Linked DNA regions of Drosophila melanogaster. The protein of the gene in region 1 purifies or fractionates together with the protein of each later gene. This does not show direct contact. Each region holds a gene or a part of one and is shown on either strand. Other genes may lie near its edges. The genes, in order: Rbp6 and smg.

Region 1 (4,908 bases):
GACAAGAACGAGCTGAGCAGAAAAATGGCTGCACTGACACCAGGCTTCACAGGCGCTGACATCGCGAATGTTTGCAACGAAGCTGCTTTGATTGCCGCCCGCGACTCCAAGGATTCGATCGTACTCAAGCACTTCGAGCAGGCCATTGAGCGTGTTATCGCTGGCATGGAGAAGAAGACCAATGTTCTGGCGCCGGAGGAAAAGCGAACGGTGGCACACCACGAGGCTGGCCATGCGGTGGCCGGTTGGTTCCTGGAGCACGCAGATCCCCTGCTGAAGGTCTCGATTATACCACGCGGCAAGGGTCTGGGCTACGCCCAGTATCTGCCCAAGGATCACTACTTGCTGTCCAAGGAGCAGTTGTTCGATCGCATGTGCATGACGCTCGGCGGACGTGTGGCCGAAGAGCTGTTCTTTAATCGCATTACCACTGGTGCTCAGGATGATCTAAAGAAGATCACCGATATTGCCTACTCCCAGGTGGTGCGTTTCGGCATGAACGAGAAGGTCGGGCAGGTCAGCTTCGATGTGGGCCAGGCCGGTGATCCCGTTTTCAGCAAACCATACTCGGAGGACACAGCGCAGCTGATCGACAACGAGGTGAGGTCGATTATCAAATGTGCCCACGAGGCCACCACTAGTCTGCTGACCAAGCACAAGGAGAATGTTCAAAAAGTGGCGGAAAGACTGCTCCAAAACGAAGTGCTCAGCCGTGATGATATGATTGAGCTGCTGGGCCCACGACCCTTCAAAGAGAAGTCAACCTACGAGGAGTTCGTCGAGGGTACCGGCTCCTTCGAGGAGGACACCACTCTGCCCGAAGGCCTCAAGAGCTGGAACAAGGAAAAGGAACGAACGGAGCCTCTGGACGCTGGCAGCACGCCATCATCGCCGCCCACCAAGCCCGTAACTGCCCAGAGCAGTTAGGCAACGATCTTCGCTCATGTGGATGGGGAGTTTTGGTGTGGTAGTTCGAGGGTGCCGACATCTGTTTGTTTTTGTTGTAATCCCTAAACGCGGACCGGAGAAAACCCCGACATGTGGCAGATCGAGAAGGCAGGGCTCAAGGAGTTCCTAGACCTTCTGGAGTTACAGTTCTCCACGACGCGTTCATTATTGTTTTTGCATAATTTTAAGATACCCACATGGATAACTTGTTCCCGTGTTGAGCAATTAAGTGCTAGCCTGTACTAAATTCCCCGTATGCGTAGTTTCAAAATGGCAATAAAGAATGGAAATGACCTGTCAGTGTGGAAAAGCGAAATTAAACGATGTTATCAAGGCGAAAAATAATCGAATCAGTGTTGTTACTGCCTTACGGTTTAAACCCGTTTTCGAAAACAGCAAAAGTTGCAAAATACATACAATGTATTGCTTCATTATGTATATTTCATACAATAAAATGTTATGATAACATTGGAATGCAAAATTTGTTCTTAACTTTGGGATAGCCAGCTTTATTCTTAAGTTGACTGATAGTGCCAGGTTAAAATTTTTTTCAGTGTGAGCTTTTAAAGCTGCACGCGGTTTAAGAGAGTGCCGCTCTCTTCGGTAAGCTTTCTCCGCAAACTTTCGCCGGCTACTCTTCCTCGCTGCGGCTTATCACTTATCAGCTGTGATGCTGAAGTACATGCGCCATGTGCAGCCGGTAAATAGTGCAACTGCCGCAGTCGGCGCCTCTGCCGGTGCAAAGCTCCGTAGGGGCAGCACCAGCGGCAACAACAACAGCAGCAACAGCAGCGAAGGCAGAGAGTGCAGCAGTGCAGTCGACGTCGCTGCCGCCGGTCGTTTTGGGGCCGTCAGTTGGGTTTTGGGGTCTCGCCGCTCAGTGTCGTCTTGTTGGTTGTCGCGTTCGTGTGCGCGCACTGAGAAAAGCGGAACGCCAGCGTTGCACTAACCGTTGCAGTTTCTATATTACTCTCGAGTCGCCCGATTTCAGAGCTGTTCGTACCGCTCGTGGGAGTGCGTGCGTTTTAACCAAAACAACTACCAAATCGCGTACAAGATACCAAACCAATATAACCGAGAGGCCCGAAAGGAAAACCCCTGCTGTGGAGGGCATTTTGCATTTTGTTTACCTCGATGGCTGTGTGGAGTGCAATTTGACGATTATATAATATAAAATACAAAATACAAAAAATAGGGAAAACGAGTAACAGTGCGCGGCATTCGATTTTAATTGCAATCAACTACAATAACCGCTGAAGTAGAGGAGTTAAAGCGCAAACCTCTCCCTCGCACCCCCGCCCTCCCTCTCACTCACACTCACTAACACATTGCGTTTGTGTTGATCTTTCCTGCAAAATGGCTGCCGGCCGGCAAAATAACGGCAACATCCATACTTGATCGATAGAAAGAGAGCGGCAGAGAATCCCTAGCGATTTCATGTTTGATTTATTGGATTTTATTTTTCCTGAGACTTTCCTTTAGGCTTCTTGTTTGATTTCTTAGAAAATTAAAATTATGTATTTATGACAAATGGTGACCATTAGGATGAACAGAACAAGGAGGAGAATTTAATGCTAATGTTTATTTATTTTGTCAAGAAAATTATATTTAAATTTGTTTTGCCATTTGCATTTATTCTGCTTTAAGATAGGAAGCAAAATATCTCTTATCAATTAGTGTAAAATCAATCAACAAACACGTGTATTACATAAAATTTAAATTTGATTAATATTTTCGTTCCTTTTATTAGAGATCTTCGTTGTGATCACTTTTATAAAATGGCTGACATCGGTAACGGTAACTTCGATTACTGATCAATCGAGCGCCCCCTGTCGGCGATTCTCTTAGCTCTGTTTTAGTTTATCGTTTATTTTGTTTTATTTTGTGCTGCCAATTGTCGCAATTGCAATTGTCGGGTCACGTGTTTGTTGCTGCCGCCAGTTAACTTCTGCTCTCGTTGTAACGGTGCATGTTCCCTGTGCGGGTGTGTGTGTGCTGATGTACGATTGTGTGTGTGCGTGTCTGTTCGTGAAAGCTTGCATGCTGCGCGTTATTATATTGTTGCTGGCGTTGTTGTAATTTTTGTTGAGGGAGTCACTGCATGCAATGTTCTTCTTGCCCTTTCGCACCTCCCTATCTATCTATCTCTGTCTTTTTCTATTATTTGTTGTTGCTTTTACTGCTGTTGTGGGTGTGGGAAAAATCAAGGCGCGTATTAAGCACAGAAAATGCAAAAAAGAACACACACAAAATATAGGAAAGCGAATAATTTCGGAGAGAAAGCAACGGAAAATAATTGCTTTAACAAGCAAAAGTTCAAAGCTATAAAATTTGGATGCCAGCATTTTTGAATTTCCGAAAAATTGTTCGGGAAACCAAGGTGTTTCTGGCGTAAAAAAAAGTGTCACTTAAAACCTTTTTAATGTTAAAAATCGTTCAGATTATTTAACAACGATGGGAATTTATGAAATTAGTAGAGAGCTTTTTACTAAATATTTGGAATTTTATAATTATTACACAAGCTCACAATAAGTAAACACGTATACTTATAATTTTTGAAAAACATTTGGATCTTTAACCTTTTATATTTAGTTTTCTTAATTTTTTATGAGACGCCTATTCTAAGAAAATTAATTTGATGGCTCATGCCATATGTGTAAAGTGAGTCAAATTTATTTCAAACAAAGATCTTTTACAGTCTTAGTACCGCATCCCAATTGTCACTCAGCCGTTACTTAACCGCCCCCCTTTTCCCACCCGTTCCTCACCTGGCTTTTCCACGGTTTTCCTCCCTCTCTCTCTCTATCGCTCCCACATCGGTTGCACTTTTTTGCATTTTACGATTGTTCGTTGCGAATCATTGCATTTTAGGGGGTGGGTGGGGGTGGTGCAGCAGCTGCGGATGGGTGGGAAAGCGAGGAGTGGCGAGGGGGAGCGAGTGAAGGGGAAAATTGCATTTTCAAAAGTTTCCCTGGGCAAAGTTTAAAATTGCAATTTAATTAATTTTCACCAAACACAACGAAACAGATCTTTTGCAGTAATATGTTGCCTTCAAATCAATTGGGAAACCAACAACCAAAGTTAACGCAACGTTTCTAAAACTTAAAGTCTAAACAACAAACGAAATAATAGTTACGAAATACACAATAATATTTAAACCAAACCAAAAGTGGCCTGCAAAACGAAGCAACCAAAACAACCAAAACAACCAAGAAATGTGATTCAATGTGTGCAATGTAACCAAATTATAATTAACAAGCTAAATAAAACGATAACTAGAGCAGGAGAAAAGCCGTGGAAAATCAGCGGGAAAGCCAACCAAAGCCAGGCCAAATGGAAAACAAGGAATCCGGCAGCCAATCGAACAGCCAACTAGCAGCCATCGTGGCCAATGATTAAGGGAACACTCTGTTAGCCAACTCGTAGTAGCAGCATCCCCCGTCCACACATAACACCCAGTAACACAGCCACTCAGCCGCACAGAACCACTCGACCTCCCCTCGCATCTCGATGCTCGCACAGAAGGCGTTGGAGCAACAATTATAGAATAGACAGCCAGACGACCACATCAGCTCAGCTCAGCCCCAACTGCAAACTCCAATCACCAGCTCCAGCTCCAACTCAATCTCAATCCCGAGCCAAAACCCCCAACATGGACATCAAGATTGAGCAGCAGCAGCAGCAACAGCAAGTGGAGCTGGGACCCTGTTCCCCCTCGGAGGTGCCCAATGATCCCGGGTAAGTGTGCTGCTCTTATATGTACATGTATACCCTAGCGAAAGGGTATCTCAGAAAGTAGAGAATATATTTTAATCAACTTGAGAAGAAAAAGATTTACTTCGATTTATTTATATTACTTTCGCTCTACAAGCACTAAAAATCACCATCCTTAAAAGGATGTGCGAAATTTATATTTCAGTTCTGTAAATCATAATTAAAATATATTTTCCTAAGACCCTA
Region 2 (7,843 bases), 8.2 Mb from region 1:
GTGCACGCACATCGCTCTTGTCCAGCCTGATCTGGGTGAGGTAGCGACGAAGCACCGGATAGACGTTGCTTGCCACGAGTTCCAGTTCCGCATCCTTATCGTCATGATTCTCAGTGAACATGGCATCGAAATCGAGTCTGCAAAACGGGTTACTATTTAGGATGTTCCATAAAAGTAGATAGACACTTACATGATTCGTTTCTGGTACTTCCTACGCGCCGCATATCCCTTGAGCGTGGACTGCAGCAGGATGGCCGCCTGTTCGCGTCGCTTTTCCAGTGCCCGCTCCTCCCGCGCCGCCTTTGTCTGCTCCAGGAAGCTGGCCTTTTGGTTTTGGGCAAACATTTTGCTCTGCAGCAGGTTGAAAGAATTTTGTTGATGATGTATTGTTGTTGACCAGAGCGTTTGTTTTTGTCGGGATTGTGGCCGTTCCGGGATGTATTTATCGTTTCAATCACTTCCTCGAGCTGAACGCTATCCCAGAGCCTTGATTCAGAGCCTCGCTGGATATTTTCTGCATTGCATATCGAGCAAAATGCAAAAAGAAAATATCCTTATTTTGTTCCAATTGGTGGTACAGTGTCACCGTCTCCGCTTACTGTCAAATAACCACAGAAATAGGCCAAAGCGCGGAGATCATTTTTGTTGGCAATTTTCTAGCTAAAACCGTGGTTTGAGTCCGCGCTGCATGAGCACGGCATCGAACCTAGGGCAGCTTTGCTGCTCAACTGAGCGTCCATCACCAAGGGAAAGTAACCGATAACCGCTTGCAAGAAAGATCGACTGTATCGAGTACACATCGATTTTTGTTCCAGCACTAGCAACGCTGCGTTCGCGTGAATAAATAATTAATTAATTGCTGAAAAAATGGATTAGCTGGCGAAACATGCATCCGACCAAGTGCAACAGCAACCGTGCGCAGTACTCAGTAATCGGGCGTTTGTGAGCGTAAGCGCCATGAATTGTGTGTCTAAAAAAAAGTAATGGTTTAGCAAAAACAACAACGCTAAAGCCCAAAAGTGCTAATAAAAAGTACACACATACGCACTCACACAAACGCGCGCGCGAGCAAAGGTGAAAATTATAAATTAATAAATACGCGATCCGATAGCATATCAAATTAGCGAAATATGCTCGTTTCTCGTGCTGATCGAATCAAAACTGTGAATTGCAACAGAAAATAATTTCAAGGTTTGCAGCAGGCGAATAGAAGGCGAAAAGGTAATTGAAAAATAGAACGAATTTTGGCACAAGCGCACTGTAGCTATATATTTTTGTTGTCTGGCCGACCGTGGCTAGGTGGGTGGGGCGTGATTTTGGGGGCCAATCTTGTGTGTTCTGTGTACTGTGCGCTGCTGCTCTGTGTGGTGAAAACAACAAAACCCGCTTACCCCGCAGGAGCCCCACCCCTCTCCCTTAAATGTAATGCATGTAATTTACCGCAATTTTGCCCGTGCATTGCTCAGTGTGTCACTCTCACTCGCACACATACCACTGCCGACGAGCGCAGCAAGGTCTCCGTCTGTGTGTGCGTGTAAGTGAGTGCTCTCCCCATTTTCTTGACAGCAGTAGCAGCATCAGCATCAGCATCAATCCTGTCAGAAAAAAAAGGCGCGCGCTCCTTTTCGCCCGTTTCGCTCTGCCTGCCGCTGCGCTGCTTCTGCAGCTCCACCATTTTCTTTCTAAATCGCTGACGCCAGCGCCAAATCATTCGCCATCAGCCGCTCCTCCTCCGCGGTGCTCCCCACTGCAGCTTCTCGTCTTCAGCTGAGCTTCGCTGTGCTAAACCAATTCTTCTGTTCTGTGTGGTTGGATCTGCAGTTTTGCAGATATAATCAAATTTATTCGCAACGTACATATGTAAATAAAAGCGTTCGGAATATGCCAAGCGCCTGTGATCGCGACTGCTGAAAGGGCAGCCAAAATACGATAATATATAAGAGCGTGTGAGTTTGCAGTATCCTTTACGTTTGCGTGTGTGTGCGTGCTTGCAATCTTTGAACTTTGAACTTTTGTTGAACTTCGGTAATTTTTTTATTTGCAAGCCGGTTAGAAAACAACAGCAATTGCAGTGACGCATAACCTCAAAGATCGACATGCACAAGTACCGTTAGATCGAGTCGCCCCAAACGACTCTTTTGCGCTCCCAGTCTCGCAGGGAAATGTGAAATTTCATATAAAACGTTACGTTAAATAGCAAAGAAGTTAACATCGGTAAATTCCATAGCAGTGAATGTGCTTTAAATGCAGTAATTGGGGCCCGTTATGTTTTACTGCTTGCTCACACACACTAACTTAAGTTGGGGTACCAATACACAGTCAGTTACACTGTCTCTGGCTTAGATTACAGTCAACACTCGATGTCGTAAACCAGGATAAAAAAATAAAATGCAGCAATTTCTCTTAAAACTACATTTTACATTAAAAAATAGATACTTTAATTTTCAAATTTTTTGACTCCCATGCGTTGATTTGTTCAATGTTTTGTGTGCTTACTGTGAAAACACGGCAACAAAAATCGAAGAAAGTCGTCAGAGTAAAAGCAATAATAACAACAACAGCAACGGCGGCAGAAGAAACAAGATTCGAAATGGGCACAAACGAAACTAAATGAAAAGCGCGAAACTGTGCAAAAAAAATACAACCTAACCAAACTTCTCGCCCCCGCTCTACTTTCCCGCCCGGAAATCAAAATCCGAACGCCGCCAAGTCGAAATCAGCGATTTCGTATTTGAAATGTTTGTTATTTTATTGATTTATCGTCCCTCGTCATTTGCGCCATCAAAGCGAATCGAAGGTGTTATATATTTGTTGCTTGTTTATTTGCTTTCCTGATAAGCCAGCCGACCAAGCAAATGCTAATTTCCATTCGTCAATTACAGATAATTGTTGTTGCTATTGCGCTTGTAAATTTAACAAATTAGCGAAAACTGATTTGATTAAATTCGAACGTTATTTGCGGCTTAAAGTTTATTTTATTATCGCTGCACGGCACTCTAATCCCGAGTGGAGCAATGGCGACAAATCCATGGAATAAGGGAGAAGCTATTGATTGGATCACGTGGTTCGGAATTGTGGTATTTTTCTATGGAAGTGATTAGATTGGGCTAAACTAGGCTTTAAGCGAATGATACAGCTCATTGAGCATAAAAAAAATTGTATTACCACAGTCACAAAGTTTAGCTTTACATAATAGTTCAATTATTAATCCTACCCCGTTATCTTTACTTGCAGCAACGCAACCAAATAACCACAAAGAAGCCGTAACAAATACAATACCATAAACTATAGTAAGAACTATCCCCAAAAAACAAGAAGCAACTAACAACGAGATGAAGTACGCAACTGGAACTGACAACGCGATGACCTCCGGCATCAGCGGCCAAACCAATAACTCTAACAGTGCATCCAACGAGATGCAGCCAACCACATCAACGCCTACTGCAGCCCACAAGGAGGCCACATCAACGGCCACGACGACGGCGACATACGCCAATGGCAATCCCAATTCTAACGCCAATCCCAGCCAGAGCCAGCCGTCCAATGCGCTGTTTTGCGAGCAGGTGACCACAGTGACAAATCTCTTCGAGAAGTGGAACGACTGCGAGCGAACCGTCGTGATGTACGCGCTGCTCAAGCGGCTGCGCTACCCGAGCCTCAAGTTTCTACAGTATTCTATCGACAGCAACCTGACCCAGAACCTGGGCACCTCCCAGACCAATCTGAGCAGCGTGGTTATTGACATCAATGCCAACAATCCGGTGTACCTGCAGAATCTACTCAACGCCTACAAGACGTTCCAGCCATGTGACCTGCTCGACGCCATGTCCTCCTCGTCGTCCGACAAGGACTCGATGCCATGCTACGGCAGTGACTTCCAGATCACCACATCGGCGCAGTGTGACGAGCGGAAGCTGTATGCCCGCAAGGAGGACATTCTGCATGAAGTACTGAACATGCTGCCTCTGCTGAAGCCGGGCAATGAGGAGGCCAAGCTTATCTACCTGACCCTTATACCAGTTGCCGTCAAGGACACCATGCAGCAAATTGTGCCCACGGAGTTGGTGCAGCAGATCTTCTCGTACCTACTCATCCATCCAGCTATCACCAGCGAGGACAGACGTTCGCTCAACATTTGGCTGCGTCACTTGGAGGATCATATCCAAGCGGCTGCGGCGGGCCTGACAAATCGCAGTTACTTCCTGCAGCCCTCGCCGCAACTGGTCGCTGGTGGTAGCTCAACAGGCAGTGGTAGCTGTTCCTCTTCGGCGACCAGCTCTTCGACAGCATCCTGTTCGTCGGTGGCCTCATCCTCGTTGTGCCCCGCAAGCGGCAGCCGTTCCTCACGCACCAACGACTGGCAAACGATCGCCCCGCCCAGCAAGCAATTGCAAAACAAATTGGCCGGTGATTGGCGTGGCAATGGAGGCGGCAGCTCCAGCGGGTCGATCAATCCACTCTGTGATAATCTTAATGGTATTACCCTGAACGAATTAGCTTCTAGTCAGAACAGTCTCGGCCTGTCGCTGGAGGGCAGCTCTTCCCTGGTCAACGGTGTGGTCGCTGGTGCAGGCTCTATGTTGGGAATCGCTGGTGGCGACGATCATGACACGTCATTTAGCAAGAATGGCACGGAGATTCTCGATTTTGACCCGGTGACGGCGGACATGGGTGAGGCCTGTAGTCTGGCCAGCAGTAGCCTTTGTGGACGTAACGGTGGAAATCCTGTTGAGGATCGATCGCAACCTCCGCCGAATCTTCAGCAGCAATTGCTTCAGCCTCCTCCCTATGCCTCGATCCTTATGGGAAACGTGGGCGATCAGTTTGGAGAGATCAACCGGTGGAGCCTGGACAGCAAGATTGCAGCCCTGAAGACGCGGCGCTCTAACAGCCTCACCACGCAAACGATCTCTAGCTGTTCCAGCTCGTCTAACTCATCGGTGATCACGGTCAATGACAACTGCTCCAATTCAACGGAGAATCTGGCACAGTTTGCCAACAAGCCCCGTAGTTTTTCCTTATCGATTGAGCATCAGCGCGGCGCCTTGATGAACAGCGGTTCCGATACTCGTCTGGATGAATTCAAGCCCAATTATATTAAGTTCCACACGCGCAACGTGGGCATGTCGGGAATCGGACTCTGGCTAAAATCCTTGCGTCTGCACAAGTACATCGAGCTGTTCAAGAACATGACGTACGAGGAAATGCTCTTGATCACCGAGGACTTTCTGCAGAGTGTTGGCGTCACCAAGGGCGCCTCCCACAAGCTTGCCCTTTGCATTGATAAGCTGAAGGAACGGGCCAATATTCTTAACCGGGTAGAACAAGAACTGCTATCGGGTCAAATGGAGCTGAGCACGGCGGTTGAGGAGCTAACAAATATTGTGCTGACACCAATGAAGCCACTGGAGTCTCCAGGACCACCGGAGGAAAACATTGGTCTGCGTTTTCTTAAGGTCATTGACATTGTGACCAATACGTTGCAGCAGGATCCGTATGCTGTCCAAGACGACGAGACTTTGGGTGTGCTTATGTGGATTCTAGACCGCTCTATCCACAACGAGGCATTTATGAATCACGCCAGTCAACTCAAGGACCTGAAGTTTAAGTTGTCCAAAATGAAGATCTCCATGGTTCCCAAAATGCATCACGTCAAGCCAGCCGGCGTCGGGCCAAACAATGGGAACATTAACAAGCCAAGGTAAGGTTTTCAATAAGATAAAAAGTAATGCATTTTAAAAATGAGCTGTTATTTTAGATGGAATGGTAAGACTCGCAAATGCGATACTAAAAATGGCAGCAACGATAGGATTAACAACCGCAAAAACTCCAACGACATGCTAAACTTTTCGCTAAATTGCCTGCCACACCCGCTGCCCCATCATTCGCAGCAGGCTCCGCCGCCTCTGCCACAGTTTGACTACAACGGCTATGGCGGCGGTCCATCCCATCAGCCGCAGTACAAGAGCTCCTCGTACCCAAGCTTCATGGGTAATCCTCAGCAGCAGCCACCACCGCCGCCGTCTAGTAAGTCGCATCATCATCCCCAGCAGATGCAACAGATGTTGCAGCAACACAACCACTTTCCAGCGCTGCCTCAGCAGACGCCACCACAATCGCATCGCCGGTCGCTGAATAATCTTATTCTGGTGGCCGGAGGTCCGCAGCAACCGCAGCAATTGATCTTTAAGCCCGGTCAGGGAGTGCTCACCAACAACGGATCTAACGACAACCTGGTATTGGAACGCAATCAGCAGTCGCAGCAGCAGCAGCAGCAGAGAAAACTTAGCGGAGGAGTGTCCAGTGCGGAGCAACAACCAAAGAAGACCATGGCCGCTGTTGTGATGGTTAGTAATCCAAACCAGAATCAGGACCAGCACGATCAGCCCCAGATCCTGATCAACAACAATAATAACAACAGCATGCTGAACAACAATTTGATTAACCAGCAACAGTTGCAACTTTTGGCAGCAGCTGCTGCCGCCGTGGGCAGTGGCAGCTGTCTGTGCTCCAATGGTGGTGGTGGTGCCTGTGTCCACAATATCTGTCACCAAAGCAGCAAGAACAACAATCATGGCGTAGACCATTGCCTGTCCCAGTCACCGTTGGGCAGCCTGGGCATGTCGCCCCACGTCACCGAGTACAAGATGAACGACTTTAAGAGCCTAGAACAGCTGGAGACGTTGTGTCGCCAAATGACTGAACAGGCAATGAACTGAGCAAGATTCAGGGCTATCTGGGTTTTGAAATCATCATGTAATGGCGTTAGATTTGAGGCTGCCAGCTGTTTTTGTGTTCATTTAGCTTTGAGCCGTGTTTGATGTTTGATTTCATAACGAACATAAATGTTTTTATATTTAGATATTTAAGATTCGTGTCTATTTTTGTGTCGCGTCAAGTTGTCCACCCTGCGTCTCCTTTCACATCCCGTTCTGTAATCGTTTTTAGTTAGTAAGACGATAGTTTGTTTTAATGTTAAGTTTATTAACTGTATGCCAAGGCGCCCCCAAAGATATGATCAATTGACTCGGGCTCGCAGGACCAACGGCTGGCCGATGAACTTGTGGAGCCCATGCTGCACTCCCCGACGGTAATCCCATGTCGGTTGTCAGCGGGGGCGTGGCATCTTACTGTCAATGTTATTAATGTATAGGTTTCGTAAATGTTGTCGCCATTTATGTAGTTAAACTAACAAGCCAAGCCCCACAACACACACACACACAGATCGCAACAACAGAATACAGTAACTTCTCTCTACCTAGGAAAATTTGGCCAAATTTGATCAACATTTTACGCTATTCTAAACCCCAATCACAACATCAACTATTTCATTCACTATCAACAACGTCGCCAAATGAAAGAAATACCCCGATCTGAACGACGACGAAAAATGGTTTATCTAGTAAAAAATTATAAAATGAACTCTGCATCGTGACCATGAGACTGACTAAGATTACTTTTCGCAACTATAAAAACTAGAAGGAAGAAAGCTGGATGGAGAGGGAATTGAAAAGTGAGAATTGAGAAACGAGAGCTGATAATTGTTTGCGCGAATCAAAACTAGGCTTGCTGAATGAAGTAGTAGTCACATAATGAATATGTTTATATATACACGTACACATAATTTATTTTAAATTAAAAGGAACATATTTGCTGAACCGTAACTGCACCAGAGGAAATCGCAACGGCGGAAACTACCACTAGACTAAACTTTAACAGAAAAGAGTTTCAATGTTTCACTGTTTGTGTTTGAGAATCGGAACCACATATTGTATTTTGCATATTTAAGCGTAAGCCAAATCCATGTATTGCATACCGATCATGATCACCATTGTCATTGATT

Evidence for each region.
Region 2: the proteins of Rbp6 (region 1) and smg purify together in Drosophila melanogaster (affinity purification with western blotting, with the first as the bait; one study listed by BioGRID). This does not show direct contact.

What each region holds. Positions count from the first base shown.
Region 1 is NT_037436.4:17,235,130-17,240,037, reverse strand, and holds the start of Rbp6 (RNA-binding protein 6), read left to right. Parts: upstream 1-1,825; 5' UTR 1,826-2,206; intron 2,207-3,975; 5' UTR 3,976-4,600; coding exon 4,601-4,686; intron 4,687-4,908. Other genes in the region: Afg3l2 (AFG3 like matrix AAA peptidase subunit 2), read left to right, coding at 1-927. UniProt on the Drosophila melanogaster protein: RNA binding protein that regulates the expression of target mRNAs at the translation level. May play a role in the proliferation and maintenance of stem cells in the central nervous system.
Region 2 is NT_037436.4:8,990,957-8,998,799, reverse strand, and holds the start of smg (smaug), read left to right. Parts: upstream 1-1,705; 5' UTR 1,706-1,946; intron 1,947-2,228; exon of another isoform or gene 2,229-2,318; intron 2,319-2,550; exon of another isoform or gene 2,551-2,738; intron 2,739-2,882; exon of another isoform or gene 2,883-3,077; intron 3,078-3,234; 5' UTR 3,235-3,332; coding exon 3,333-5,701; intron 5,702-5,758; coding exon 5,759-6,719; 3' UTR 6,720-6,756; intron 6,757-7,262; coding exon of another isoform or gene 7,263-7,304; 3' UTR 7,305-7,843. Other genes in the region: CG5087 (uncharacterized protein), read right to left, coding at 1-137, 191-345. UniProt on the Drosophila melanogaster protein: Translation regulator that binds to the 3'-UTR of specific mRNAs such as nanos (nos) and prevents their translation. Prevents translation of unlocalized nanos in the bulk cytoplasm via the recruitment of cup.